Linked DNA regions of Nothobranchius furzeri. The protein of the gene in region 1 purifies or fractionates together with the protein of each later gene. This does not show direct contact. Links are inferred from orthologs where the notes say so. Each region holds a gene or a part of one and is shown in the gene's direction. Other genes may lie near its edges.

Evidence for each region.
Region 2: the proteins of mad2l1bp (region 1) and lbr purify together in Homo sapiens (co-immunoprecipitation; 3 studies listed by BioGRID and IntAct, counting the BioPlex papers as one, with this or other methods). This does not show direct contact. The link is inferred for Nothobranchius furzeri from reciprocal best matches to the Homo sapiens genes MAD2L1BP and LBR.
Region 3: the proteins of mad2l1bp (region 1) and mad1l1 purify together in Homo sapiens (co-immunoprecipitation; 4 studies listed by BioGRID and IntAct, with this or other methods). This does not show direct contact. The link is inferred for Nothobranchius furzeri from reciprocal best matches to the Homo sapiens genes MAD2L1BP and MAD1L1.

Annotation. Positions count from the first base shown.
Region 1 is NC_091752.1:313,522-324,260, reverse strand, and holds mad2l1bp (MAD2L1-binding protein), read left to right. Parts: upstream 1-3,977; 5' UTR 3,978-4,018; coding exon 4,019-4,385; intron 4,386-6,001; coding exon 6,002-6,270; intron 6,271-6,359; coding exon 6,360-6,893; 3' UTR 6,894-6,996; downstream 6,997-10,739. Other genes in the region: uncharacterized protein kif16bb, read right to left, coding at 2,116-2,213, 2,807-2,923, 3,032-3,142, 3,209-3,272, 3,344-3,390; ephx5 (epoxide hydrolase 1), read right to left, coding at 7,414-7,615, 7,690-7,815, 7,887-7,995, 8,798-9,009, 9,284-9,413, 9,495-9,704, 9,781-9,961, 10,040-10,259 and 1 more. UniProt on the Homo sapiens protein: May function to silence the spindle checkpoint and allow mitosis to proceed through anaphase by binding MAD2L1 after it has become dissociated from the MAD2L1-CDC20 complex.
Region 2 is NC_091742.1:28,042,900-28,052,942, reverse strand, and holds part of lbr (delta(14)-sterol reductase LBR), read left to right. Parts: intron 1-974; 5' UTR 975-984; coding exon 985-1,149; intron 1,150-1,265; coding exon 1,266-1,439; intron 1,440-2,789; coding exon 2,790-2,867; intron 2,868-5,534; coding exon 5,535-5,721; intron 5,722-5,795; coding exon 5,796-5,992; intron 5,993-6,210; coding exon 6,211-6,265; intron 6,266-8,427; coding exon 8,428-8,622; intron 8,623-8,692; coding exon 8,693-8,796; intron 8,797-10,043. UniProt on the Homo sapiens protein: Catalyzes the reduction of the C14-unsaturated bond of lanosterol, as part of the metabolic pathway leading to cholesterol biosynthesis.
Region 3 is NC_091744.1:8,652,496-8,663,305, reverse strand, and holds the start of mad1l1 (mitotic spindle assembly checkpoint protein MAD1), read left to right. Parts: upstream 1-5,179; 5' UTR 5,180-5,314; intron 5,315-6,005; 5' UTR 6,006-6,052; coding exon 6,053-6,196; intron 6,197-6,284; coding exon 6,285-6,425; intron 6,426-6,569; coding exon 6,570-6,749; intron 6,750-10,810. UniProt on the Homo sapiens protein: Component of the spindle-assembly checkpoint that prevents the onset of anaphase until all chromosomes are properly aligned at the metaphase plate.

The DNA of each region.
Region 1 (10,739 bases):
ACTTGTAGGCATTACAGATTAGTCGACTCTCATAAACATGCAAAAACGTTTTTTTTATCTTAATTTTGACAAACTTCTGCAGCCGCGTAGAGCGGCCACCCATGCAAAATAAAATTGGAGTAATATCACATTTGCTTTATTGTTCCAATATTATAATAATCACATTTATACAATATAAATATTATATTGTTAGAACGCGATAGTACATTGTACTAATGTGAAAATTATAAAGCTATGTTAGAACGTGATATCGCTCCAATTTATTTTGTGTGGGTGGCCGCTCCAAGTTGCTGTAAACGTCTGGAAAAAAATTTAAGCTTTAAAATGTTTTTTCTTTAAGTCAATAAAGTTCCTCTAAAAATAAAAAAAGTTTAGTGAAGGACATCAACGTCCACATATGTGGAAACCGGGTCTTAGAGACCTAGTAAATATGTGTGTTGCTTTAAAAATTCCAGCTTTTAACCTAAGAGGTGATTTTTGCCGTAATAAATTAGTTTAAGGAACAACTTTAATTTGAATTTCCCCCTTTTTTTATAAAACTGAAGACAATTCAATGTTTGTATTAAACATCTTAAAATAGTTTAAATTTTATTAAAAGATGAAGCCAATATAGACAAAGTACCTTATTTAGCACTGAACTAAATTATCAAAGGCATCAAATTTGTCAAAAAATTTTATCTGAACAATTAGGAAAGCAGTAGTGGTAGTAGTGGTAGTAATGGGTCAGGCAGCCTTGCTTTTACACCGTTCAGTCTCAGCCAGCTTGGTGAAATGTTCCCGTCTACCTTTTATTTGAAGATTCAGGTCTTGCTTCAGAAATGACATCCTTGTCTTAGATTTACCTTTTCACAGCGTTCTGTAAATATTTCATGGGGCTGAAGTGTGGGGGAGATGACGGCATCATGAATTGGTTTTCTCTGTAGAAACAGGTGCTGTGTGCGGTAAGTGATGTGTTGTGCATGAACATTTTTTCTTCCTCGTCCAGAGGGCTGAACTCTTTACAGGTTAAATCTTCAGATTTTCTCAGAAGTTCACAGATCGTTTAGGGCAAACAGTCCAGATCAGCTCTGATTTAGCGTCATGTTAGAACAGGGTGGAGATTAAACAACCACATAGTTAAAGTTTCATTAAACAGCTAAAAAATGTGACTGCCCATGTGTCTGGGCCCAGCGCACAGGCTGCATGTAATCCTGGCCGGTAAACCTCTGAAGAGTTCTCCATGTATGGCAAACGTGCCTTCATCACGTCTGATTCTTCTGGCTACGATTAAATATGTCATTTTAGTAAATAAATACTGATTTGATGCCTCTTGTGAACATTGCACTATTCTGAGGGTTTTATCGTTTCTTTATGTACAAAACTAAATATGGGACATTAAATTTATCGTTTCACATCCGCCCACAAGTCGGAAAAGGGTAGAATTCCTTCTCCAGGCCAGGGATGAGGTCCTGCCTCAAGTGGAGGAGTTTAAGTATTTTAGAGTCTTGTTCACGAGTGAGGGAAAGATGGAGCGGGAGATCGATAGGCGGATTGGTGCGGCGTCTGCAGTGATGCGGGCGTTGTACCGATCTGCTGTGGTGGAGAGAGCCGAGCCGGAAGACTAAGCTCTTGATTTACCGGTCGAGCTACGTTCCCACTCTGAATGTGGTCACGAGCTTTGGGTAGTGACTGAAAGAACGAGATTGTGGATACGAGCGGTGAGAAGCTCAGTCATCCGGGAGGGGCTTGGAGTAGACCTGCTGCTCCTCCACAGAGAGGAGCCAGTTGAGGTGGCTGGGCCATCTGGTTAAGAGGCCTCCTGGTGAAGTTTTCCAGCCACATTCTACTGGGAGAAGACCCAAAGGAAGACTCGGACACGCTAGAGGAACTATGCCTCAGGTGGCCAGGGAACGTCTTGGGATTTCCCCAGAGGAGCTGATCCAAGTGGCTGGTGAGAGGGAGGTCCGGGCCTCCTGCTTAGGCCAATTCCTCCGGGACCCAACCATGAGTAAGCGGACGAAAATGGATGGACGGATCCTTCCATAAATGTGTTGAATATCCACTGAAACTGATCACCACAACAGGTTTGAAGAAGCAACGAATGCTGAACAGAAGGCAACGATAATACGGCCTTACCTGACCTCCGTGTGAAATGAGACAGTCTCAGTTTTGCTTCTGTTGGATAACTCCAAGAACAAGCCCTCACAGATCCGTGGAATTAAACCTTTATCCACCTAAAATTGAGAAGACATCTGCCTTTACACCCGCTGAAATAGACGAAGCTCGCACTGAAATGACAATTACATTTCGATCCTATTATACTTCAGTTAATCTGGTTGTCTACACCATGCCATAACCACGACTCAGCACACACACAGACCGCTGAACAACAGCAGCTCATCAGCTGTGGAGGTAGTGAAGCATAAAAGCAATCCCAGCCGGAGCAGTACGTCCTCTTGTTTTTAATTACAAAGTAACAGACAGTAAGCATTAAGTTATATAATTATCTCTGATGTTGACAGCAACTCTGCTGATGACCTTGCACAAGTCCCCCAAGCAGAAACCTCCTAGTGTAAAATCCCTAGTGCAGTGTGTGTGTGTGTGTGTGTTGCTGCACTCATCAAAAATTCTGACTAGTGAGGAAGAACAAGCTAGTCTAATGAGGCAGCATTCAGTTGGGGTCCAAAGTGGCAAGAGGTCATCACATGCAGAGTAAAGACGGAGGTATAATAGAAGAGGTATGCATACAGCACTGATTGTTGTGAAGTCGTAAATATTGCCGTTACGCTGCAGTGTTCAGCATGCATATTGCAAGTATTTTACTTACCTTATGTCCCATCATGGTGTAAGTTTTCCCTGAGCCCGTTTGGCCATATGCAAACAAGCAGACGTTGAAACCTTCAAAAGCTGCTTTTATTACATCAGATCCCAAGTCCTGGAAAATCTGAAACAGGTGTAAAATATCCATTTTACACATTTATAGAAATAAAATGCAAGAAGTGGTTCAACACTGGTGCAAATAAGAGTTAAACAGATGAAACACAGACAGCACCTTCTCCTGGGAAGCAAACGTGGAGCTTTTACTGTCAGTTGAGTCAAAAGAGAAGTCAAAAGAAAAGATTTTGCCTCTGTCCTTCAACTTGTCTCCACGTAAAGAAGAAGGCTGAAATAAAAAAAAAATCACTCAAATGAACTCAAGTAGAATTCATTCTGTGACGGTCTAGCCTACCTTATGAATGGATGCGGTGTTCTCCTTCATATGCACAATCACCTTTGATGACAACTGTTTTTCTCTGCAACAAGCCGTGCAAAAGTTTGTTTTCTGTTTTCCTGTTAAAATAATAAGTCACTCTGTTCTACTGACCTTTTGTTCAAAGGGCGCACTCTCACCGCGACCTGAACTGAAGACATTATTAATCAAACCAGACAGACGAAGAGCCAACGTCCCGTTGCTAGAGTTTTAAGCAAACCTTGTCCTTGTTTGTTACCACCTAATCTAATCATCACACCTGGAACTGATCCTCACGTTGTCGATGCAGTGCATAAACTGTCCACTAGAGGGTGTCTCAAGCACGTTCTCCGTTTAAATGTGCCTTGGGCAAGATCAGACAATACATCACTTCATAAATATTTACTTATAACAAAAACGTTTGGTTTCCAATTGACGAAACTGTCGTTTGGTAATATTACACGTGGTTGAATCTGTAGTGTGCAAAAAACAAATATCTGAAATGTCCTGCATTCACAATTCATAGGTTAAAAAGGCATTATAAGTCCTTGCAGCTGCTACCAGAAACAGAAGGGCTGTCAAATAACAACAAACGTTTTGTGTGAACCCAAAATATGATGATGATATAAATCGTTTCTTGAGAAGTAAAATAAATGAAACAAGAATAGTTAAATTATTGTAAGAACACCAGAGTGGCGTTGGGAAGCTTATTTTTTCCGATTTTGTGCTACGTAGCTTGAATGCGACATCTATTGGATTTCCCATGATGCAGTGCGAGAAAACACCGGCGCGGACTTTCAAAAATAAAACATGGCAGATAATTCTACTTGTTCAAAACCTACATCAGTCTCGGCGGCGGCCACAGAAACGGAGACCGCTGTTGACACCACGGGTGGCGGGATAAAGGGACGGCTCTCGTTTTCACCACAGAAGGATGTTAGCGTTGATGGAGAACCCGAAATAACGCCTTTAGGCGGCAGTGCGGAAAGTGTCTCCAACGTCTCCAGTTCATGGAGCCAGCCAGAGGGAAGAGCTGAACGACTCCCGTCTGATGCCAGCGACACATGTTCAGAGACGAAAAATGATGGTAAAATAAGAGAAGAGTGTCCAGAACAACGCAGAGGGAGTTCTACTGAAGCCAAAGAAAATGCTGCTGTTCCCACAACCACGTCTCAAGGCAGGTAGCATAGAGTTAGCTTACTTTCCTGCTTTTGATCCGTTTAGGCTAATGTGCAGCTATATTTGGTTTCATACCCAAACTGTTTCCTGATCAACTTAAAATAAGCTTGTGCCGGTCAGTTTGATCAGTAGGTAACGCCTGATGATGTCAGATGTCAACATAATATTTCAAATTATTGCTTGTGGACAAAACTAAATGCAACTGACCACATTAGATGTGCCCAATAACGCCAATAAAATATACATGTGATCACGGCTAGATGGATCGGGTAATTTCAGAACAAGAGAAACATAAAACAAGATGTTTAGAAAGATACAAGTTGTTAAAGTATGATTATTTCACTAAACCAGTTAGGGTTAGGGTTAAATATTAAAACTACAACATGAGAAGCACCAAGTAGAACCGTTGAATTTTCAGCACGGTTGTTGTAGTTAGATTATTTTTAAGGATCGTCTCATTTGAAATAAGATGTTTACCTCAAAAGTCCCTTAAGCTGTGTTTGCAATGTTCTTTCTCTTTAATTTGCATTACCTCAGCTTACGTGTCATCCATCAGTCTGCGTGGTTACACCTGACGCATTTATGTTCATTTAAGGCTCTTTTCATTATTGGTTACCTAAATGTTAAAAATAAAACTAGAGAAAAGAGTCAACATCAAGAATTAGTGGACCTAGTTTTCCTTTTATGTAAACTTTGGAATTATTTAAATGAAGAAATAAATAATGCATTTATTGTAAGATGTTGTTTTTGCTAAAATGTGGTTTTTAGATTCCTGGTTTACTTTTAAAGATGCCAAAAATTGTAAGGATATTTACCAACAGATGGTCAGTTTTCAAATCTAAAAAACTTTTTTGCACATTTTTTACTAAGAATTAAATATCAGATTTTTAATTGTGTCATGTGATGCAGTTCAACATTTTATTTAGGAAAAAATTGCCACGTGCATTGCAAACCACAATTGCAAAACTCAGTTAAATGTGACTTGTTAAATGTTAACATTTGCATATTCATCTTGACTTTTTAGTAGCAAAAACAAACATCTTGCACCATTTTTCCTTGAATCGCATTTGGAAACATTTGTGACTCAAAAGCCACAAAGAGGATTGAAAATTGCTCATGCAGATTCTTTTGAAATCTGTCACATTGATGTAACTCCTTTTTCATGGCTGACACAGCACTTCCTGTGGGGTTTAAAGGTGTCCCGCTGCATGACTCTGCTCCTCCTGACTGGAGTAAGTTAAAGGAAGGACACTCGTACACATTTCTGACACTGGTTGCAGAAAGAGTTCAGCATTTAAGATCAACTCCCTTAGTGGAGATGAGTCAGCACAATGTGGTGGTGTGTTGGGTCTTGTGATTGTGTGATTTAAAAGATTTGAGTCCTGCTGAAGCACAGGTCTCATAAATCTCAATAAGATGCGACTCTGTAAGTGATTTGATCTGATTAGAATCAAAAGTAATCTTCCTCCACAGCCTGATTTCACTCCTCATGTTAGTTTTTGAGACGAGTGAGCTCATCAGGTTTATCTGAATAATGGCTCTGATACATTTCATTAACGTTGACCGTGACGGGTCCATTACGCTCTGTAATAACTTTATTCTGGTTCTGGACAGATAATGCACAAGAGGACCCTTCTGAGCCGGATTTCGATCAGACTGCCAACAATCAGCAAGTTAACACAGAGGAAAATGATGCCGAGGTGGTGAGACGAGCACGGGAAGAAGGCTGTGTGGACGTGGCCTTCCCTGGAGCCGTAACTCAGAACAGCTGCTATCGTTTCGTCAGCGAAATCCTCAAATGCATTCTCTATCAGAGACAACAGCTACCCATGACATACGACCAGCTGGTCTATTCCCAGAAGAAGCTGCATACTACGGCACAGGTAATACATAAATGTAATGTCTCACTGTCAGGTGAATTTATTGTAGATTTGAGATTAACCAACAGTGCTTGGGACGTTCTGCTTCCCAGGATAAAGATGCAGTGAGTCGGAGGCTCGCACAGTCTGCCAATAAGGACCGGCGTAAATGCCATCAGACTCTCCAGGAGATGGAGGAGGTGCTGCAGCGACTGGAGGTGCTGTTTTCCTTGAGCAGGATCCCCCGTGTTTTACTGCTGATGGGCAGCTCGGTCATCCTCCCCAAGGAGATATACGAGATCAACATGGAGGCCCTGGTACTGGCCGATGGAAGTCAGCCTCTACGAGTGTCGTCATGCTTAAGGCAACTGTTCCGCACTCTTTTTGTCGCCGACCTTTTGTCCGACACCAAACCCGTTCGCTTAATGCCCACCACAGTGTTGGCGCTGGCCCACAGGGATTGTGGTGTGGACTGGTTCCGCCCTAAGATGCAGTTTAAAGTCCCAACGCGGGTAAAAAAGCAAGTGATTGCCCTGTCTACTGACCCCGGCGCCTGTAAGAAGCTAAAGGCAGACGGATCAGACTGGCAGGATTACGTGTGGTTCCAAGCACCAATGACCATTAAGGGCTTAGCAACCGACCCTTAAAGTTAAGCAGTGTGTTGTCTGATCTTGGATCACCGCTCCAGAAGTGTAATCTGGTCAAATTTATTGGGCGTTCAAATTAAGTATTAAACTTAGCTGTGCATGTGCGTTTTCTGTCTGTTTCAAGTCACGCAGATCTACATCAGACCGTCGTGGTGTCTTACCTTTTAAAGCTTCTGATGCAGAGCGAAAGCTTCCTAAAGAGGCATGACTGGTGGGCGATTGTGTTTATATTTCTAGAGAATTACTTTTCTGGTGTAGAAAAAGAGCAGCAACACAAACGTCAGTGCAATATACCTTTACTGAACAGAACTTGAACAATTACAAAGCTTTCCTCAGTCATAAGGGAACAGTGGTGAGCCGAGGTCTGGTTCATGTTTACATCTTTGCAATAATGTGGTAAATCAAGCGATAAGACTCGCGGCGTGGAAAGGAACAAAAAAGATGTGTATGTGGTGTACAGACTATCAGGTATAATAAAATACTAAAACACCTGCATGAAACCGGGAGTACGCTTAAGTCTTCAGAGCTTCTCTACTTTTTTAACAAACTGGAAAATGTCATCCGCAAGCAGCCGGGGCTCTTCGAAGGCGGCAAAGTGGCCACCTGCTGGCATGAACGTGTAGGAACAGATGTTTCGATACCTAATCTGTGCCCACGACTTGGGGCAGTGCATCAGCTCCTGAGGGAACGCGGCCAGACCGGTGGGCACAAATATTCCCGTCCTGAAGCAAAAGGTGGGATCGTTAGAGAAATTATAAAATGAGATTAAAATTGATGTGAGCATTTGGTCTCCTACTTTGCATCGATTCGGCTCTCTGGGTTGGTCTTAAAGTTCTCTTTGTAGAAGCGCATGGAGGAGACGATGGAGCCTGTGGTCCAGTAGATCATGACGTTTGTCAAAAGGTCATCCAGGCTGAACTTTCTGTACAAAAAAGACATTTCTAGTTCATAACAGAGGGCAGCAACTGACTAAAGCATGTCTATCTTTAGTACCTCTCCAGCCCACCATCAACCAGGTCTCTGTTCGTCTTTTTAGTCCAGGTGGAAAACTTCTCCAGAATGTAGGCTGCCAAGCCCACGGGGGAGTCGTTTAGCCCACAGCCTGCAAACACAGAAGGAAATCACTCGTAGGTCGGATATGAGGATGTTTTTCTTGCCAGTCAAGCAACAACTTTAAAAATAAACAATTCTAAAGGTCCAACATCCTCAGGTGTTTCCTCTAAGCTGAGCCTTTAGGACAAAGCAACACACATACTTGTTCCTGAGGAATCAGTTGTATGTTTTTGAACTGCTATTGGCTCCTTTTCTGCCATATTTCTAATATGGCGCCTACATAACTATATAACAAGTACGTATGATGGCTAACATAATGGGGAGTTTTTATGGTGACAGTTTTAGCTTCATTGCAGCAAACTATCACCAAGAATCTGGGAAAACTCCACATCCTCCTCCCAATCGCTCTTTTGTTTTGTCATGCCGGCTTTTAATGCGTGCTCGTAGCCGAGGTAAGTGACCGACGGCTCCGCCAGTCGACGGGACAGGCTGCGCTCAGACGAGCCTGTCACCTGAATCTTTCTCAGCAGAAGCAGACTAAACTGAACTGTAACCTGAATGGAAACTTCCACTCGACACACTAGCTAGCCCGGCCCTGGCTTCTTTTCCTGTCCGTGAGCTCCAAGCTGAAAGAGGAGTGTGCAGAGGGCAGTTTGATGGATCACGATCCCATCCTTTACAACGGGACAGTCACAGTGATTGGTTGAGGTTTTTCCAGGATTGTACGTTTCAGAAGCGATTAAAGTCAATATGTGAAGAGCAATTATGGCAAAAAAGCTCCACAAACATCTGCCCCACCTTTAAATTGTGAAAATAAGAAAAGTCGTCTTGAGCCCGTCTCACAGCCTCACCTGCAGTATCTGGCTTGGTGGCCTGAATGTGAAGGTAGCCACTCTCCCTCAGTACTTCCCAGACATTCTTCTCAAAGAAAGGGAACAGCCGGCGAACATCTTCCCGACTAAAGCCCACCAGGAAGGGCAGATAGGGGCCGATGATCAAAGACAGCAGCACTTTGAACCCCCGTGTTGACATGCACATGTTCAGGTGGAGACCTTTCACACAGCTGGAAAACAGAAGTATTGTGAAACAGCTGCTTTCTGGGTTCCTGACTCATAATTACTGCTGTAAATGTGATCTTGTGGCAGGACAATGTTATCAGCTCCGTTCTTCGGGAATCTGTGCTGTCATGACTTCGTAATCATCTGCACACAGTGGAAGCATGGTTCCACAGCTGAGGAACGCTACAATGAGCTCTTTCACCAACAGCTTAGTTGAGGGAACTTTCTCAGCCATGCCGATGTGCAACATGGTTTCTAATAAGCTGGTTTTGTGCTTACTCAGGCTTCATCTGTGCCATGTTGGTGGTGATAAGCGAGCCCCAGTCTCCTCCTTGCACATAGAACTGGGAAAAGCCCAAGCGCTCCATGAGTGTCAGGAAAATCCGAGCAACAGCCAGACTGTTAAATCCTGGAAAGGAAGCAGGAAGCACACTGCTAAAACATCAGCTGTCCGCAGAAGCAGACGTGTGCACACGTTATTCATAATTACCTTGTTTGTAAGGGGCTTCTGAGAAGCCATAACCAGGGATTGAGGGGATTACGACCTCAAATGCAACTCCATCCTGGCTCTGGGTGAGGAGGGGCAGAATCTTGTAGAACTCGTAGAAAGAGCCGGGCCAGCCGTGAACGAGCATGAGTGGCAGAACCTTCTGGTCCCCTCGGACTGCCTGGCGCACGTGAATGAAGTGCACATCCAGTCCTGCAGCACCAGAAAAAGTTTTTACAAGAGAAAACATTGAATCTAACCCGTTTGAACCCCGTGGAGCTGTGTGTACCTTCTATTTTGGTTCTAAAGTGTGAATACTTGTTCAGCATCGCCACCTGCTTTTTCCAGTCAAACTCATTCCTCCAGTACGAAACCACTTTCTTAAGGTAAGTGGAGTTAAAGCCATAATTGAAGCCGCAGTCTTCTAAAGGATCTGAGAAGCGGAAGCTGTCGATGCGCCGATGGAGGTCCTGTTCAACAAGATAACAGCTGATTCCTTCACACTAAAGCTGCTGTTGTTAGAAACTGGGTTGGTATTTTGCAAGCACCTTAATCTCTTCATCTGAGGTTTTCACTGAAAAGGGGTAGATCGTGTGATCCTCCGAGAGAGTCTTCTCTCCTGCTCCCCACCATCCTTCACCAAGAGGGATAGATCTGGCTTTGTTCCTCCTCTGCATGACATATGCCAGAATTCCACCTGCCGCCAAGGCCACAGCAGACCCGATAAGGAGTTGCTGCTGGACAACATCCAGGCCAAAGAAAGTGTCCCTGCAGGGGGGGGGGGGGGGGGTCCAGAAAATCAAATAATGAGATCAAACTTTTACTTTTCATATCAACATAAAACACCGCAAGGATTTGTTACTTTAAAAGCTGCAGTCTCTGCATTGTGAAGGGTCAAAACGTGCGCGTGCTCAGGTTTCTTTGTGCTGTAACAGGATAAAGGTCGACAATGGTTAATTTGTTGGGGGGGGGGGGGGGTTGCACACAGCACTTCGAAAAGTTGCGCGAGCCGAAATCTGCCCCCCGTGCCCCTCCGCGTTTTTAACGTACCTTGTTTGTCACGTTTTAAGTGTCCGGAGGGAATGTTCTCACTTCCAGTCTGGAGAGAGCAACCTCCGGGATAATCCGTTCCTGAACGCAGCCTTTACCTCAACTGGCTGCGGGGCGGAAACCCCTCAGAGGCGGGGTTTGTGTGTGTCTCGGTGATTCCTGATTGGCTGAGAGATAAGCTCGCGCTCTTGCTGTTGT
Region 2 (10,043 bases), on another chromosome or scaffold:
AGAAAATTCTCGCCTGACGTGAACAGAGCAGTGGGCAGCACGCGAATTTCGTGAATGATCCACTTCGCGACACACAGCTGATGTGATCCTGGCGTCATGCCATTACTGAGTTGTAGTCATTTTAATTAGCAATTTTACACGTAAATAAATCTCAAATTATGTGACAGATGTAGTCGAAACACTTCATTTAAATTGAAGTACAACGCGTGTGATTGAGGGCGTAAAGGTAAGAAGACCAGAACCTTGTTCAGGGACCCACGAGCCGACCGGAAGGGGAGTAGACTCGGGTTCCTTATTAGAGACCGCTGCAAATGTCTAGGTCAGGGGTGTCAAAAATGCGGCCCGTGGGCCAAATCCGGCCCGCAAGCAGGTTAAATCCGGCCCGCGAGATGGTTGTGTAAACTTTATTTTGATACTTTACAATGTAGAGTAAAAATGAACTTATCAGTGTGAGCAAGTTTTCTCTGTAATGAGTATAAATAAAACAAAGCTGCGCTCAAGGCTCACACAAGAACTTGAATCCCATCCTGAAGTTCACCGCCACTCAGGATGTGACTTCTGATGTTGATGTGCTGGTGAAGCTAAAAGATGTAAAGTAAAATGAGTCAAATATACTTTAAGTGCTGCATGAAACTGATCTTGCCATGTGATCTGTAAGCTCTTTGAATCACTAAGCAATGTTTTTTTTTTTTTGTTTTGTTGAATTTTTTTTTTTTTTTCTTCCAAAATTTCAAGTACACTTCAGGTGTTGTACTTGTACTACGCTGTCCTCAGGCTCCAGCCTTGTTTTATATTGATTGTATTAAAACAAAGAGAACAATCAGAAGTTTTTTTTTTTTTTTAATTTACCGGTCCGGCCCACTTGGGACTAGATTTCCCTCAATGTGGCCCCTGAGCTAAAATGAGTTTGACACCCCTGGTCTAGGTAAAACGAGTGAAGTGTGTCTTTAACACTGGTGTTTCCTCTTCTTCAGGTAATTAAAAATGCCTTTACCGAAGTACCCGACAGGAGACACGGTGATGGGCCGTTGGCCGGGTAGCAGCCTGTATTATGAGGTCAAGGTACTCGGTTACGATTCCAGAAGTCGACTCTACACAGTTATCTACAAGGATGGAACAGAGCTGGAGCTGAAGGAGCAGGACATCATGGTAGGACCACAGTTAGTTTTACCTGTATTTGTTTATGTTGTGGTTTTATTTCACTTTCTTATGGATACTTGATTTGATCTCCTTTTTTCCCCCATGATTGTTGTCACTATTGACAGAGTCTCGCTGGCTTCCAGGCCCGATCACGCTCACCAGGACGCCGTCGCAGTCGGTCGCGGTCCCCTGCGCGGACCACGCGGCGCTCTTCCTCTCGTGCTGCTGCTGCTGCCGCCGCGATAGCGGATGGTGCAACACCGTCTCGCAAGGACCCAAAGCAGAGAGACGCGCTGGAGGTCAGGCTCATCCCAGTATTATGTGTGCTTACAAAATAGAATTAGATAAAGTAGGTATCTCCGCCTTTACCTGTTTTAGTCGGCTGAAGGTAAATTTCTGTGTATTCATTGTGTAAAAAGTCTGGTTTCAGGTACAAAATAATCTTTGCAATTAGGATTGGGCGATATGGACCAAAACTTATATCTTTGTCTTTTAGCTGAATTCCGATATTCGATATATATCTCGATATTTTTCCTCCTGTAAAATATTTACACGTTAACTCACTTCAAGCTGTCGTGAGAAATTATAAACATAAATCAGTAGATTAAATGCATAAAAATGTAATGATTCTTGTCAAACTTTAAGCTTAGTGCCTATTCTCTGGTACAGCTGTCTGTTAACACACACACACACACACACACACACACACACACACAGTTGAGAGCTAGAGGTGTATCAAATGTCCCACAGGCACTTTTTAATTATATATTTATAATTAATGTAAAAATATTTAAATTTCATCTAGAGGTGGCCGATATCGTATATTTCTTGTCCAGAGAAAATAAATCTATCATGTTAAACTAAATGTATGATGATGTCATTGCATCTACTGAAGATCACATGGGTCATGCACCGTGGAGTTATTAGTTATCAGGGCAAACATGGCTGGAGTCTAACAGTATTGGCTCATATCAGCGATTATACTGTAATGACTCAGTCTCTGGTTGCCAGGCTACACTTTTTCAACAGAATCGCTCGTAACAGAGTATTTACTAGCATAGCAAACCAGAGCGGAAAATAACGTTGAGCTCGCCTTCAAAATAAAACATTAACCCCATGCTTTACTATTCAAACACTTACAATATATTTAGGTAATTTGGCCACTCCGGCTATCCGTAGATGTTTCCTCGTTACACAGGGAAGGGAGGGAGGGGTCCGCACAAGCAGGATGGAAAAACAGAACTCCGTTGGTGTTGAACGTCCCAAATAATTAAAAACCATGCTGCCAAATGCAAAGTTTAGAGCAGCACGTTTACCCAGAGGCTCTCAGACTGAACAAACTTGTGAGAATACGTGTAACAACCGCTTAGAGACGGAGCAACATGTCGCTAGCATAGCAGTTTGACCAGTGATATCGATATAAAGATATAAAGTCATCTTATATCTTGTTTAAAAATTACACCAATATTTAAAAAATATCCATATATCGCCCAGCCCTATTAGCAATGTGTTTCTGTCTGAAAAAGATCTTAGAAGAGACCTTAGCTTATTTAAAAATGTCCCTACCTCCCTTTAATTCTAGCGTTTGACCCCAACATGTCTGTTCTTTGTGTCTCATCTCTACTTCCTCTGTTTGACGGCTGCTACAGACGAGGCCCACTGAGAATAACAGCAACGATAAGCATGAGCAGAAGGACGAGAAAAGCATGGCTCCCAGAGTCAGTGAGGTTAGTCTTGAGCTGTGGTCCAATCCGGTCCCCCACTCCTTGATTTCAGGTGTCATCGAATGAGAAGCTGTCACAAAGCAGTCGTGTCAGACTGACCTGTTGCTGGTCTCATTTCATTTAGCTGTGGGTCTTTGTCTCCGTGTTTTCCATGCTCAGCACTTTGATGTTGGGCTCGTTTAGCCAACTTCCAAGTCTAAAATGCTCCTTCAGTGTACGTATTCCTAACCGCTTCATTTTTGAGTACATTTATTTGATCATGTGCCAAGCCTTTCTTCTTCTGTGGTTTTGATAGTGGTATTCTCATGCAGACTCGTGCAGGTGGTTCTCTTGTTTAAAGGGGGGGGCTGCAGGGTGTGTTCCAACTACAGGGAATCACACTTCTGAGCTTCCTTGGTAAGGTCTATTCAGGGGTTCTGGAGAGGAGGGTCCGCCGGATTGTCGAACCTCAAATTCAGGAGGAGCAATGTGGTTTTTTCCTGGCCGTGGAACACTGGACCAGCTCTATACCCTTAGGGGGTCCTGAAGGTTGTCACGGTATGAAAATTTAACCTCACGGTTATTGTGACCAAAATTATCACGGTTTTCGGTATTATCGCGGTATTTTTTAAACGGTGTTGCATATGTTCAGAAAGCATTGATAGTCCTGTTCTACACAAACTGAAATAGTTTTGAAAAGGTTTAACAGTGTTTATTAAACCTAAAATAACACAAAGCCTTAGCAAAAGTGCAACTTTTCACAAGTAAAGGAACAAATAGCTTCTTTTTCTGGAACATGTTACAGTAGTCAGTGCAGGTTTAAATTATACAAATCCAAACATTCAAAACATAAACAATATGTAAACAAATCAAAGAAACACCACTTGTTTTCTCATATACTTGTTTTCTTCATTATCAAAATGAAAATCTAAAACTCCAGTCCACACTTGACTTGAGCGCTGTACAAGTCAACCTTAAAAAAATATGTATTTAAAATAAATAGCCACTTTAAACAAATGACTAAAATAACTACTACACTATGTAATCAAATCCAAATGTTCAAGTATAAATGGCATTGAATAAGTAAACAAATACATGACAAGGAACTAACTGTATATTTCTCTTCATCATCAACAAATAAGATGCTTCATCCAGCAACAGGGTGTCCGTGACACGGTTTAAATGCTGCCAGAGGACGCTGCGGCTGCAGTATATAGTGACTCGTTGCATTCTCCCTCAACCAAAAGTCCTCACGTCATGCATTTCAGCTAAAATGCTAATGTTATCTTACCTTGCACTGGCTGTGGAGACGTGGGTGATCGTCACGCAGATGTGCCATGAGATTTGAAGTGTTGCTGCCTTCTGCAGACACTTGTTTCCTGCACGTTCTGCAAACGGGATAGCCGTCTTCTATTAACTGTCCCTCAGCATTTTTCAGAAATCCAAAATATGCCCATACTTCCGATTTAGTCTTCTTTGAGGGCTGATGGATGTCCTGGGCGCTGCCGTCTCCTCCTTCGGCCATTATTTCAGCTTCAAAGTTTTGGTGCCGTTGCAAATTAAAAAGTGCGTGTGCGCGCCGCGGGAACTTCAGCTGAAGCGACGGTGGCTGGTAAGGGTCACCGCGCCGAAACCGCGGCCACGGTAAACCCACCGAGATAATATAGTTTTTTAAAAACTGGACGGTTATTTTTATTGTCAACTTTTTTACCGGGGTTTACCGCTATACCGGTTACCGTGACAACCCTAGGGGGTCCTGAAGGTTGCGTGGGAATATGTCCAACCAATCTACATGTGTTTGTGGATTTGGAGAAGGCGTTTGACCGTGTCCCTCGGGGGGCCCTGTGGGGGGTACTCCGGGAGTATGGGGTACCAGGCCCTCTGATACGGGCTGTTAGGTCCTTGTATGACCGGTGTCAGAGCTTGGTCCGCATTGCCGGCAGTACGTCGTACGAAGAGAGTTGGCCAAGGCTGCCCTTTGTCACAGATTCCATTCATAACTTTTCAGGACAGAATTTCTAGGCACAGCCAAGGTGTTGAGGGGATCTGTTTTGGTGGCCTGAGGATCGATCATCTGCTTTATGCAGATGATGTGGTCCTGTTGGCTTCATCAGAACATGATCTTCGGCTTTCGCTGCAGCGGTTTGCAGCCGAGTGTGAAGCAGCTGGAATGAGAATCAGTTCCTCTAAATCAGAGACCATGGTCTTGAGTTGGAAAAGGGTGGAATTCCTTCTCCGGGTCAAGGATGAGGTCCTGCCTCAAGAGTTTAAGTATCTCAGGGTCTTGTTCACGAGTGAGGGAAAGATTTAGCGCAAGATTAATAGACGGATTGGTGCTGGGTCTGTCTTGGTTTAAGAGAGCTGAGCCGGAAGGCTAAGCTCTCGATTTACCGGTCAGTCTCTGTTCCTACCCTCACCTATGGCCACTTTTAATATCAGGTGGGTCATTATAGCTGAAGCTGCAACTAGAGTCAAACCTGGCTTGTTCTGTCATTCAGACACAATTCTGATTGCTCTACAGCCGAGAAGGACACGGGGAAACGAGCTCTAACCCTAGATCAGAGTACAATGCAACGCCAACAACCCGTTACAGTCCGTCAGTGTGTGCTGTGATGTTGGCTTCTTGTTGGTTCTGTCGCAGCAGTACTCCCACCAGATGTTTTTGCTTTGTTTCTTTATTGAACGGATCAGCCTGAGAACAAAGAAGAGGCGCAGCCTGAGAGGAGCCAGGGTCGTTACAATCTGCGCCGGAGGAAGGATGACGGAGATGTGGAAACAGTAAATGCTAAACCGGAACCCAAGCAGCAACCGGGGGCTACGACACTGGCAGCTGCTTGGGCCACACCGCCTGTCCCGCTGGATTTCGGAGGGAAGCTAGGTGGGTAAACTTTACCCTGTGGGATGACGGATATATTCCAGTATAACAACATAGTGTGGTTATCTACTCCACAGGAGCATTTTTCTGGCTGCTTTTCCTTCCAGCTTGGGTTCTGTTTCTGATTCTTCAAGTCAACCAAGAAGACCCCAGTCTGACTAACTTCCCTCCTCCTTTTCCTCCTCTGGAGACTTTCTGGGACCTCCGGGCTCTTGGCTTTGTGCTCCTCTGGATCTTGCTCCAGGCTCTGCTCTACATTTTACCGATTGGAAAGGTGAGTGAGAGGACCTGAGTCTACTGGGAGGTGGGCGGTGCTTCCGTGTCTCTGTTCTAGCATCCTTGTGAAGCATCACATGACCTGGCAAAAGGCAGAAGCAAAATAAATATAATAGTTTTTCCCGTTTCCACAAGAACCCATGCTGGGTTTCTGTCCACGTTTGAATCTACTGTTGTCTCTGGTTTGATTTTAGACTTTTGTCTCTTTCTCCGTAGCTCAGTGATGGTGTCCCACTGAGGTCTGGTGAGACACTTCGATACAGAACCAACGGTAAGTGTGTGATGCTGAGCCAGCATCGGTCTCTTTAGTCCTAACTAGAGAGCACTTCTGAACACAATGAGGTGGACCAGACCGTGCCGGGTCAGCAACAAAGGCCCAGAGGATGCAGTGAAGTTGTGTGTGTAGAACAATGTCACGTCACAGCAGAACTGCTGACAGCTCGTTCTTCAATGGGTCCAATAAATGGACAAGGTTTTTAGTTTTTTTGAACTGTGTGACTGGTAGAAAATTACTAGAAATTTGCTAAATATCACATATGTATATATACGTATATATACATATGTATGTATACATATATGTAATATATATATGTATACATATATATATGTATACATATATGTAATATATATATGTATACATATATATATGTATACATATATATATGTATACATATATATATGTATACATATATGTAATATATATATGTATACATATATATATGTATACATATATATGTATATACATATATATATACATATATATATATATGTATGTATATACATGTATATGTATGTATATATATGTATATACAGTAAATCCATTGCTCATGTTGACTTATGCTACTACAGAATAATACCGTCCAATATACACATTCCTGCAACTGACCAGAGCGTCTCACACGTAAACCAGTTTAAGACAGGCAGACATGGCAACACCAGTGACTCCTTAGTGGGGAGGGAGGAGAGTGATCCACATGGAATTACGCCTACAGTTTTAAAGTGATGCCAGTATTTTCTGCCGGGTCACATTTGGCCCATGACACCACAAATGTTACCTTTTTTTTTAGAGACGTTCAAAATTGACTAAAATTGTAAAAATCTAATTGACCCGAACACAATACAAGGGTTAAAAGAAAATGTGAGTGCTTAATAGTTGATTAGTTCATTGCAATAAAGTCTTAATTGTATTTTTAGAAGTTCTTAAAAAAAGTAAAGTTTGAGATCCCTGCATTTACCCTGTTATCACATTAGCTTAGCTTTTAATCCATATCTTACCTGACCCAAGGGTTACTTCCCTCTGCTGGGGTAATCTCCTCCATCTCATGTTGACCTCTTGTGTTCTGCTTCTGCCAGGATCACTCTGTGATGTTTGGCTGTTGCACACGAGTGTTCATGCCACACTGGGAACTCTAGAAGGTACACAGGCAGACTGCAATGACGTCTCGCCCCAGCAGGACACGCTACGTCGCCAAAAGCATACGTCCCTAAGCAGACCAATAACCAAAAAGCTAAAAAGATAGAGTAAAGCACTTCCGTTAACACTTCTTTTAGAGTCTGCTCATGACCCAGCTCTCTTCCTCAAGCCCTCGCTTTGGTCTCAGACTCAAGCTGTGGGTCTCTTTTTCCCGTCTTCCAGCTGCACATTCATCCTCCTTTACACATAAAACCCCACTAAACTGCAGAGAAGTACCGATCGGTCACAGATCGCTCCGTTATCTAAACTTTTGCCAAGAGTTCTGTCTCTGCTCCTCTTCGTGAGATCATCACACCCGCTGTCACTGAGCTTCCTCTTGTCTCTCTGCAACACTAAACACTACAGAACCATCAGTTGAAAATGTGAAATTTCCACCAACAGCAAAGCCATCGGATGTTTTTGTGTTTGATTCTTTATGCTCCCCGTCCCAAAAGTGTGTTTTCATTGGTCGGTTGCAGACAGGAATCGTAGGTTTTCAAGCGGAAGACTGTTTGGTCATGAGACGGCTCAAAAAGCTGTTGTGGAGCCGGTCACACCGTACGTGCACATACATGCAAATCACCCTCGTGGTGACCGTCTTTTGTCTCGATTCTGCTCAGGACGAGGGGTTTGGCTAAGAGCCAAAAACGACACCGTGTGAACGGGGCATGGGAGTGGCTGTGAGTGGTGCGCTCTGTGCCGTGTGTGTCAGACCTACGATACTTCTCTAATCACCTGCATGAGTTGATCGCCCATCATATGTTGGACTGATGACCAGTATCGGTTGGAAAAGGGTTCTATATTGCCCGACCCTAGTAGGAAGTCTTGTTGTTGGGATGTTATCCTGGAATACTGGGATGACTATTCCTCACTCCTCTACAGGAGTCAGAGGTTCATCTGACTACAGGCGTGCTCTTGTTGAGGGGGATGCGTCTCCTGTTCTGTGTGTGACGGTCCATGTCCTCTGTGTCCCTGTCCAGGGTTCTTTGCCTTCGCGGTGAGTGCCGCTGTGGTGGCAGCAGCGATGTACCTCGATGTGGACCTCACCTACATTCACAGCCACTTCCTGCAGTTGGCTGTGGCCTCCTTCCTCGTCTCCCTGCTCCTCAGTGTCTACCTGTTTGTCCGCGCTCGCTCTGCTGGTCTTGGAGAGCTGGCTCTGGGGGGGAACTCGGGTATGTGGAAACACCTGGAGTCTGGTGAGGCATCCACAGACGGCTAACAGATGTTTACTTGTCCCTTCAGGAAACGTGGTCTATGACTTTTTTAAAGGACGAGAGCTGAATCCTCGTATCAAAGGCTTTGATCTGAAGTTTTTCTGTGAGATGCGTCCTGGACTCATCGGCTGGGTAAGTGGGGTTGGGAGGCAGACTCCTGCTCAGTGTGCAGAGAGATCATCCTGAAGGTGTTTGAGCAGTGGCCGCTGGTGGGCCTATTTTATACTTCTCCATCAGCTCCACGAGGGAGAGATGCACATGCATCGACAGATATTTGGCTTTCAGTCTTCTCCATCAGCTGGGGGTTGTTGCAAAACAATTCGTCTGCGAGCACGTCGAAGGGCTTTTCTGTGCGTCTCCATCCCAACGCAGGCAGAGTATAAATTAGGCTTCACGAGTAACCTCAGCAATGCTTTGGATTAGAGGTCGACTGGTATCGGTTTTTCTATTGCCGATACCGGCATGAGGCGGTCGTGGTCAGCCGATAAGTAGGGATGCAACGATACCACTTTTTCCCAAATCGATACTTGGGTCTGGGTACTCGCCGATGCCGATATTTCTACCACACAAAAAAAAAACAATGATTTGGATTACAGATTTTATTTTCTTCTCTGCTTTCAACAGGAAAAGACTGGGGTAGTTAAAAAGTAAAATATATGAATGGAAATCATCACAAAACTAAAATATTGGGTGAACAGAAATGACAAGTTACAGTGAAGCTATTTTCAAGCAACTGCATTGGTATCGGTTAACTTTTACCGATACTGGTATTGGTATCGGCGCCAATACTGATACCAGTATCGTATCGGTTAACTTGTGCCGATACTGGTATTGGTATCAATACCGGTACCAGTATTGTATCGGTTGATTTTCACCGATACTGGTATTGGTATCTGCGCCAATACCGAAACCAGTATCGTATCTGTTAACTTTTACCGATACCAATACCAGTATCAGTAAAAGTTAACAGATACGATACTGGTATCGGTATCGATACCGATACCAGTATCGAATTGGTGCATCCCTACCGATAAGTGCTGCAGGTTTTTTGTCTCGGTGTCTGGCGCCTTATCTGAAACGTTAATTGTCACCAACAGTGACGGTGGGTGCACAAGAATCCCTGTAGCATCTTTTCTTCCTGTTTAGGTCCAGTGGACCGCGTCTTGATTCCAACTAACTAGACGTGGAAATGCTTTAAAATAGTTGCGCAGTGTCGTCGTCACTTTGTGGTTCAGTCTGGATGACAACAGGAAGTGCTACGTTTATTTTTCACACGTTGGATCGCTCTTAATTGTGACAACAAGCCAGTAAGTTTCTGTTTGAGGATCAGCTCCTCTCGTATAAACGTTAACGCTCAATGAACCGGGTTCTCGGCCAGT
Region 3 (10,810 bases), on another chromosome or scaffold:
TTGAAAATCTTTTTTTGCTGATGAAATTTTATTTTAGAATTCTACAGAAATTTTCAAGATAGAATTTTTCAGCTGAATTTTAACAGAATAAATTTTTTTGCGTACTTTTAGTAAAATCATTGAAATAGATAATTTCACAGAATGAAAATTCAATGTATAAATTAAAGTCATAACCTGAGACTGTATTTCTTCCATAATATTGTCATTTCACAAAACAATATGTGTGTCAATCCATGGTTCGTGTGTGATCCATGTAGAGTTAGTGTTATCTAGCTATCTAACTACTGAGTATATTTAAGAGATTTAAATCTGGAGTGAAGAGATGGGAACACATCTCCCTTATCTTGGTCTCTCTGTGCTGGCTTTCCCACAAAGCTTTGGATCCATAGTAAAATTTTAGTTCAGGTGTATGAGGCTCTTGCCAGGATGGCTCCAGCCTACATGTCCCATGGAGATCTTATTGCTCAGCCAGTTATGGTCTCTTGGTGGTTTTGGACAAAATGGTAATCTAGTGACCGTGCATTTTTGGTTTTGTCCCTAAACTCTGGAACCAACTACTTGAAGTTAAATGATTGTCAGTCCAAACTTGACTAAATGGTGTTTTTGTATTTTCTGGCACAGAGTGTGTATTTTGTTTGCTTCAAAACACCACTCAACGTCACAAAGCCTAGTGGATGACTTGGCTTACATGAGTGTGAAGGGTATTGGATGTTTTTATCACCTACCACCTGAGATGAAAACTCAAGCTGTTGCTAATGTTTTAACACCCACACCTCAAACTAAGTTTGAAACGGATAGTTCCTGTACTCTGGGTTGAGGTGTCTGTGATCCAAAACAGCTGACACATTTTCCTCCAAAAGGTGTTGTCCTTTTTTTTAAAATTGGGTCCAATTTCCTGACATGTCTTTAACCTGATCACTTTTTCCCATTCAAGATGGAAAATCTCCAAACTTGTTGATGCAGCTTTGCTGCTCTCTGTGGGACGAATGGTGAAATTACATTTTGATCTGTTAAATACATTTTAGGTAGAGCTGCGGAAAATAATCAAATAGTTGATGCATCGGGATGCGGACATAAACGATTCTGCATCGTAGAAGAGTACGCCATAATCGATTATAGTGGAATAGTTTTGTTTTTTTAAATGATCATTTCCCTTGCCAAAAATTGTTTATGAATGTGGAAGAGACCCAGCATCCTGTGATGCGACTAAGAACATCAAGAGATAATAAATAAAGTAATATTTAGGTAAATTTAACCCTTTACAGGTGACCAGGGCACTGTAATCAATTTTTGGCAAGGGGAATGATCATTTTTTGCCATTTTTGGGGTGTTTATGAATGTGGAAGAGACCCAGCATCCTGTGATGTGACTAATAACATCAAGAGATAATAAATAAAGTAATATTTAGGTAAATTTAACCCTTTACAGGTGACCAGGGCACTGTAATCAATTTTTGGCAAGGGGAATGATCATTTTTTGCCATTTTTGGGGTGTTTATGAATGTGGAAGAGACCCAGCATCCTGTGATGCGACTAATAACATCAAGAGATAATAAATAAAGTAATATTTAGGTAAATTTAACCCTTTACAGGTGACCAGGACCCTGTAATCAATTTTTGGCAAGGGAAATGATCATTTGTTGCCATTTTTGGGGTGTTTATGAATGTGGCAGAGACCCAGCATCCTGTGATGCGACTAAGAACATCAAGAGATAATAAATAAGGTAATGTTTAGGTAAATTTAACCCTTTACATGTGACCAGGACCCTGTAATCAATTTTTGGCAAGGGAAATTATCTTTTTTTTTTTTTTTTTTTTTGCCATTTTTGGGGTGTTTATGATGATACAGTAGACAGTATGAGTACAGTAACATCAGCAGATAATTCATAAAACCCTTACTTGGTCAATTTTAGCCTCAGTGAAAAACTGAGCGATTCAATCACTTTTTGGCAAGTAAAATGCCATTTTTGTTGTCTACAATTAAATCATCAATAAAAAATTTTAAGATATTTTTAGGCATTTCTTATAGGTAAACAGGAGGGTATAGTCACTATTTGGCAAGTGACAATCTTAATTTTATGTGCTGAAGTGCTTTTATCTTGTTACTTTTAAATAGAGTAAAGTAATTTATAGATAGCAACTTACACAGTGTCATTGTAAAGTCAACGCTTGATCAGTTTAAATACTATTTTTCAAGTAAAAATGTGCCCCAAACTAGTTACAACTGTGGCTCCATGTCAAGTGGACTAAAGAAAGGAAGGGGGAAAAAAATCAAATCGCTGGAAAATTGTTTATGTGCATTTATACAACGTTTGACTTTACATTCAATACAGGGTGCCATTTTACATATTTTATTTATTTTTTAGTATCACGGTTGTAACATAAAGATAGCCAGTTCTTACCACAAACCATCTTTCAATGGCAAATATTGCAAAAAGGATTAATATATCCTCATTGTGAACGTTTAAGACAAATAGCAACACTTATAACAACTTCCGAATTGGAAAAACTAATATCCGCGATAAACATCTGTTTAAGTACCGGACGAGGTTATCTCTGCTTTCTGAATGTCCATATTGCTACATATGCTGAGTTTTCAGGCAAAATCCTGGGGAATTTCGTCTAGAAATGCAATTACCCTAACCGTGCGCGATCCCGCGGTGGAGGGGACACGAGGAGGGGGTTATATTTACAGTGTGTTCTAATGGGAAACAGGCTTCAACACAAATGGTTGTTTTCCGCTTGGTCCTAGAGCTCAACCAGTGTCAATTTAATATGGTCTAATATTGTTTTTGGATGGTAAAAAGTGCAGGGGTCAAAACTTGACTTTGGAAAAAGTGGTGGCGGTGGTGGTGGTGGTGGTGGTGGTGGGGGGGGGGGGGGCACATGTCCCCCTGTCTCCCCCCAAAAATTACGTCCATGCCACGGTGGCTAATCATTTTTTGGCAGCCTGTCGATTTATGGCACAACACCGGGTCAATGATGGCGGCTGCAGCGTGATCATCTGTCTCTTTTTTATTTCGGGACACTGAGAAGTTAAAAGGAGAGAGAAATAGAAGATAGAAGTTCTTGTTCCACTTTATTCTTTTGTTTCATGATGATAAACTGATGTTAGATTCAATTAAAAAAACTGGGAGGAAGCTTTGGTTCATTTTAGGTTACAGGAGGTCTGTCTTCTGCTCCTCCAGAGACAGCATGGACATGAGGGTTACATGGTGAGGGTCACACAGGACAGGTTAGTGGAAAGGTTTGTAGTTAGCTGGTTAGTGAAAGAGATCCATCAGCTGGGTAATTTAATCCTAATCCAGCCCACAGCCTTCTGCTGGTGTTATTATCAGGAAGAATAAAACACACATCTTAAATATTATTGGAAGTGTAGAATTTGTTTTATGTTTTATTATTTTCTGCATCAAACAGAACTTGATTCATTCTCCAACATTTCAGAAATGAGACCACTGGGTTCAAATAAAATATCTAAGTCAAACATTTCATTTGGTGTCATTTCTGACATTCTTGAACTGTGGCATAAATATTTGACTCTAAAGCTGCTCAGCGACATTAAACACTCATATATGAACCCATTATGTATTTTATTATTACATTATGTGTCCTGTAGGTTTTCAGTTCTTTTTTAGATTTTGTGCAGCGGCCGCAAACTCACTGATGCACCTGCAGCCTCTCAGAGTTCCTGCTGATCTAAACATTGAAATAATTATTTCATTTTCTGTTCCTCACTTCTGATTACCTTCATTGGTGTCTGTTTGTAGCAACCACCCGATACGAAAACAAACTTGTTTTTTATGTGACTATTTTCTGTCCTGTCTGTTTATTATCTTCCTGCATCCCCCCTCAATCCTAAAGAAAAACTGTTACCTGTTTTCATATTTTTCACTTCATGAGTTACCTTTGAACTACAGTTCAAAACGATCTACCGACCGCGAAAATAGCGGAGTGAGCGCTGACCGCACCTGTGAGGTGAATTCACTGGAGGACTAAACAGGTGATGCGCTCTGCACCGCAGCAATAAAACGCATCAGGCACAAATAAAAGACAGAAAGCATGAAAGGATATGAGCAGGCATAAACAATTGCGTGTTAAATTTGTTTTTGAGGTGGCGACACTTTGAGAATGTTACTGTGGCCGTGCTCAGGACACGTCTGTCTGGAGCGCACCAATGATCAGAGCTTTGCGCCTCTCAGCTCTTACTTAAATTAAATATCCCTGGAGAATCCACATAGACAATGTAATATACAGTGGGGCAAAAAAGTATTTAGTCAGCCACCGATAAGTTCTCCCACTTAAAATGATGACAGAGGTCAGTAGTTTACATCATAGGTGCACTTCAACTGTGAGAGACAGAATGTGAAAAAAAATCCATGAATTCACATGGCAGGATTTTTAAAGAATTTATTTGTAAATCAGTGTCTCTCACTGTTGAAGTGTACCTATGATGTAAATTACTGACCTCTGCCATCATTTTAGTGGGAGAACTTGCACAATCGGTGGCTGACTACATACTTTTTTGCCCCACTGTAAGTAGAACCAGGATCGTTTCGGGCTCCCCCTGGGTGTGTGTTGAGGGCTTCCAGTTTGTTGCGTGAGTCGCCGGATCCTAGCAGACAGTGGCCAGAACAGTCCTTTCAAAATAAGATAGTTCCCGGATCTTGTAAGCCCTGATTTTAGGTTTCAAAAGCATACACAAATGTGCAGGTCAATAGTATTCTTAAATATATTGGAATTTCTGTGGTAAATAAAATTTAAATAAAATCAGATTTAGGTTTGTTTCCAAGTTTACACAAATTAGGGATTTTGTCTTTATGCAGAAAAATGTTAGCCTGGCCAGCAAGACTCCTCTGTTTAATTCTACTCGTTTTCTGTGCAGAATTAAACAGAGGACGAGTCAGGTAGGCCAGGCTAGAAAAATCTATGCAATAGAATATACACACATCCTTGAGTTAGCCTACTGAAATGTCCTTTTGGTCACAGAAAAGCCCAACAGCTTTAGTCATGTAATTCATTTAATAATTAAAATGAAAAAAAAAAACTATTACTTCTATTGACTTGCTGTATTCTTGTATTTTTATTTTAGTTTTTCTGAACATTGCTACAAAACACGAATGATACATTTGAATTGAAGCCACAGAAAATTAACAGGAAAAAAGAAAAAGATAGAGAATGATAGTCTCGCGATGTTACGTGCATCCCATTCGAGTAAAACTGGAGGGCTTTCCAACGAGCAGCTAAAGTGCTAACTCGTTAGCAGTGGGGATAACTTATCTGCGACAGACCTCCACCTGTTTACAGACGTTTATGTGGTACGGTGTTATGTTGCCAAAAGTTGTACATTGATGAAAACTTTAACATTAATAACTTTGTGACGTGTTTTGAGAAGCTGCATAAACGCCGTTAGTTCTAATGTTTAGCTTGTGTAGCTAGTCCATGGCTAAAAACAACAGTCAAAACCTCACCGTCTTGGAAATCTTTAAAAAGCAGAAAAACCGAACTTGAAAACGAATCAAATAGCCTACATGTTAGACATTCTATCTACTTGTTTGCTACTTGTTCTGCTTCCATTATTGAGCTAATCAAGGAAGCTAATGAATGATTATGCTACAAATCCACGTTATAAAGTTGATATGCACTTTATTCTGTTTGTAATTTTACAAAGACATGCTAAGCAATAGAGCACACACATAGATGGTAAAGACAGTGTTGTGACTGCTTATTAAAGGACGGAGTTTTAGTTTTTCTCTACTTTTATTGAAAATTGCTACAACTAACCTTGTTATATGCAAAATTGACGTTTTTATTGGAGAGATAAGAAATACATTTTAAAATTAGTTGGTGTATTTGACTAATAATAGCTGTGTATTAATACTAATGCAAAAATTTCTAGCTAGTTTTAGGTTTACAGCATTTTTTAAATATGGTACTTATGTGAAATTATGCTCTTGTCCGTGTTTGTCATTGAGGAAGTTCTGATGTTTCAATCTTTTTCATTTCCAGAGTTTTTTTTAAATTGTGTGCAGTCAGTAACACCAGTGGTCTATACAATGGATTTTGAAGATGACACTACTGTGTTAACAACTTTGAGGTCTTTCAATACCTTCATAAGTCGCCCTGAACGTTCTCAGCTGCAGTCGGAGCGATCAGCGGAAAGTGGAAACCTGCAAAATCAGTACAAACGCCAAATGGAGGTAAACAGAAATCCTTTGCTTTATCGTCAATTCTAGTAAAATCAATATTTAGCTATAAGGCAGGTTAATTCTTTTGTCTTTGTTTTAGCTTTTGGAAGCAGCAGAGCGGGTTCACACTCAGCATCGCTATCTACAGCTGGACCAGGAAAAGAAACAGATGGAACTGAGTCACAAAAGAGCTCGTTTTGAGCTGGAGAAGGCGGTCTCTGAAAGTGCACGAGATTTGGGGGTACACAACTCAAATATAGCAGCACATTGATTTATCACAGTATAAAATGATTGGTTGATGTGTTTTTATTAGATGTACTACACACAGAGTTTTCTTCAGTGTTCTTTTATCCACCTTGTTTACGTCTTTCTTTCTTTTTTCCAGCATGAAGTGGACCGGAATCAAGAACTTTTGGGGCGCATTAGAAAATTGGAGGAAAGGGAGACCGAAGCCAAAAAGAACTTGTCAGAGCAGTTGGAGGAAAACAGTTCTCTGTGTAAGAAAGTGGAAGGTCTGAACAAGAAACTGGAGGAACGAGACACTCTGCTAAATGCAGCCAACCAGGTACGCACAGACTTATTTTGTGTTTCTGGCTTTTTTTTTTGGGCTCACCACTCATGGGAGGGGCCAAAAGGGTCGGGTGCAATGTGTGATGGGTGGTAGTCGAGGGCGGGGACCTTGGCGGTCTGATCCTCGGCTACAGAAGCTGGCTCTTGGCACATGGAATGTCACCTCTCTGGTGGGGAAGGAGCATGAGTTGGTGTGTGAGGTTGAGAGGTTCTGACTAGATATAGTCTGACTCACCTCAATGCATGGCTCTGGCTCTGGAACCAGTTTCCTTGAGAGGGGCTGGACTTTCTACCACTCTGGAGTTGCTCCCACTGAGAGGCGCCGAGCAGGGGTGGGCATACTAGTTGCCCCCCATCTTGGTGCCTGTACGTTGGAGTTTACCCCAGTGAATGAGAGGGTAGCCTCCCTCCGCCTACGTGTGGGGTGAGGGTTCTGACTGTGGTCTGTGCTTATGCACCAAACTACAGTTCAGACTACATACCCTTTTTGGAGACCTTGGAGGGGGTGCTGGAAAGCGCTCCTTCCGGTGACTCCCTCGTTCTGCTGGGGGACTTTAACGCTCATGTGGGCAACGACTGAGACCTGGAGAGGTGTGGTTGGGAGGAACGGCCCCCCGATCTGAATTTGAGTGGTTTTTGTTATTGGACTTATGTACCAGTTGTAACGGAATCAAATCATCATCATCATCATCATCATGGATTGTCCATAATGAACACCATGTTCAGACATAAAGGTGTCCATATGTGCTCTTGGCACCAGGATACCTTAGGCCGCAGCTCGATGATCGACTTTGTTGTCGTTTCATCTGACCTGCGGCTGCATGTCTTGGACACTCAGGTGAAGAGAGGGTCAGAGCTGTCAACTGACCACTACCTGGTGGTGAGTTGGCTCAGATGGTGGGGGAGGATGCCGGTCCGACCAGGCAGGCCCAAACGTATCGCAAGGGTCTGCTGGGAACATCTGGCAGAGTCTTCTGTCAGAAGGAGCTACAATTCCCACCTCCCACAGAACTTCCAAAATGTTCCGGGGGAGGTGGGGGACATTGAGTTTGAATGGACCCTGTTCCGTGCCTCCATTGTTGAGGCGGCCGACCGGAGCTGTGGTCGCAGGATCGTCGGTGACTTTCGTGATGGCAACCCCCAAACTCGCTGGTGGACACCGGCGGTTAGGGATGCTGTCAAGCTGAAGAAAGAGTCCTATCAGGTCTTTTTGGCCTGTGGGACTCCAGAGGCAGCTGACGGGTACCGGCAGTCCAAGCGGAACGTGGCTCGGGTGGTTGCCGAGGCAAAAGCCCGGGCATGGGAGGAATTCGGGGAGACCATGGAGCAAGACTTCCGTACGGCTTCGAGAAGATTCTGGTCCACCATCCGGCGCCTCAGGGGGGAAAGCAGTGCGCTACGAACACTATCAATAGTGGGGGCGGTGTGCTGCTGACCTCTACTCAGGACATTGTGGATCGGTGGGCAGAGTACTTCGAAGACCTCCTCGATCCCACCAACACGCCTTCCAGTGAGGAAGTAGAGTCTGAGGACTTTGGGTTGGCCTCTCAAATCTCTGGTGCTGAGGTCACTGAGGTGGTTAAAAAGCTCCTCTGTGGCAAGGCTCCAGGGGTGGATGAGATCTGCCTGGAGTTCCTTAAGGCTCTGGATGTTGTGGGGCTGTGTTGGCTGATGCGGCTCTGCAATATCGCGTGGACATCGGGGGCAGTCCCACTGAACTGACAGACCGGGGTGGTGGTCCCCTTATTTAAAAAGGGGGAGCGCAGGGTGTGTTCCAACTACAGGGGGATCACACTCCTGAGCCTTCCTGGTAAGGTCTATTCAGGGGTTCTGGAGAGGAGGGTCCGTCGGATTGTTATACCTCAGATTCAGGAGGAGCAATGCGGTTTTCATCTTGGCCGTGGAACACTGGACCAGCACTATACCCTTAGGGGGATCCTGGAGGGTGCGTGGGAATTTGCCTAACCAGTCTACATGTGTTTTGTGGATTTGGAGATGGCGTTTGACTGCGTCCCTCGGGGGTCCCTGTGGGGGGTACTCCGGGAGTATGGGGTACCAGGCCCTCTGATATGGGCTGTTAAGTCCCTGTATGACCGGTGTCAGAGCTTGGTCCGCATTGCCGGCAGTAAGACGGGCTTGTTCCCAGTGAGAGTTGGACTCCGCCAAGGCTGCCCTTTGTCACCGATTCTGTTCATAACCTTTATGGACAGGATTTCTAGGCACAGCCAAGGTGTGGAGGGCGTCCGTTTTGGTGGCCTGAGGATCAGGTCTCTGCTTTTTGCAGATAATGTGGTCCTGTTGGCTTCATCAGAACGTGATCTCCAGCTTTTGCTGGAGCAGTTCGCAGCCGAATGTGAAGCAGCTGGGATGAGAATCAGCTCTTCTAAATCTGAGACCATGGTCTTGATTCGGAAAAGGGTTGAGTGCCTTCTCTGGGTCAGGGATGAGGTCCTGCCCCAAGTGGAGGAGTTTAAGTATCTCAGGGTCTTGTTCACGAGTGAGGGAAAACTGGAGCGTGAGATCAATAGGCGGATTGGGGCTGCATCTGCAGTGATGCGGCCGTTGTACCGGTCTGTCGTGGTGAAGAGAGAGCTGAGTCAGTAGGGCTGGGGGTAAACAATTATTTTTAAAACGATTATTCTGACGATTATTTTATCGAATAGTCGACTATTCTAATGACTATTTAGACAATTAATCTAATGATTATTTTTCTATTGCACAGTTAATAAAAACCAAAATATCTCTAATAAATTCCTCAAAAAATTGATAAATTGTTACTGTAAGAGAATAAACATACAGGCCTTCCATTTTTTATAACACTGCTTTTATTGTGTTGTTGTTGGTTATGTTCTGGTGACGTGTAGAACTTGGGAGAGCAGGCTGCTGCCTGAGAGGTGGTTGGAGATGGAGTGTCTCCATGCTGCTTTGTTCTGGTCACTTATGTGCGTGAGGCGAGTGGTGTTACGACCCTTCCTGGGGAGTTTGGCTCGTGTGCAAAAAGGAAGGGACAACAACACGGGATTTAAAAGTTAAAGTGATGATCAGGTTTATTTACAACTACAAAAAAACATAAACCTTTCCATCCACAGGTTGGGAATTAATAAAACTAATTCTGCCTCTGGGGAATTAAAACAAAAGTACAAATAAGTAGGGATGTCCCACTGGGCAAAGATTACAGGGTTCTGGACCAAAATAAGGATCTCCAAAGGTCCAAATTCTAAACTGGGTGGTTAAACCAAACTCAAGGTGATATTTTAAACTAAACTGAAAACCCACAACACTCTAAATGTAATAAAAGGGAGATCTGCACCACAAAAGAGATGAGCTCTAAACCAAAACGTAACAGCTTATCCAAACGCAAGAAGCTGTTAGCGAAAATGCTAACAGTAGCTTTACCAACGTAAAGTTCAAGATACAAGTTTAAATAAACCAAAAACACCCAGCAGCAAACAGACCAGCACGGAGGAGAGACTGCTACCACCAAAACAGCTCTCGTTAATGTCTGAAGGAAGTTCCTTTATGAAGGGAGAAACGCTCCCGGTGATTTTCTACATCTGCGCTAGAGACGGAGCTGCGCATCTGACCCCGGAAGTTGTCCGTTGCCGGGAGACGAAGGTGGGCAAAACAGGAGGAATCTAATAGTGGACGGGCATTGTTCCGGGTCTTCGGTATTTGGTGGAGATGTTAGTGAAGGTGGAGAAGAGGGCGAACTAGAGGAAAAACGGGCAGATTCCACCTCTGTTTACAAACTCCTGGGGATGCAACAAGTGGGCGCAGTGCGTCGACTACCGGATCTGACGTCGACGAATTTTTAGAATCGAGCCGTCGACGTCATCGAGGATTCGCTACAGCCCTATGAGTCAGAAGGCAAAGCTCTCGATTTACCGGTCGATCTACGTTCCTACCCTCACCTATGGTCATGAGCTTTGGGTAGTGACCGAAAGAACGAGATCGCGGATACAAGCGGCCGAAATGAGTTTTCTCCGAAGAGTGGCTGGGCTCTCCCTTAGAGATAGGGTGAGAAGCTCGGTCATTCAGGAAGGGCTCGGAGTAGAC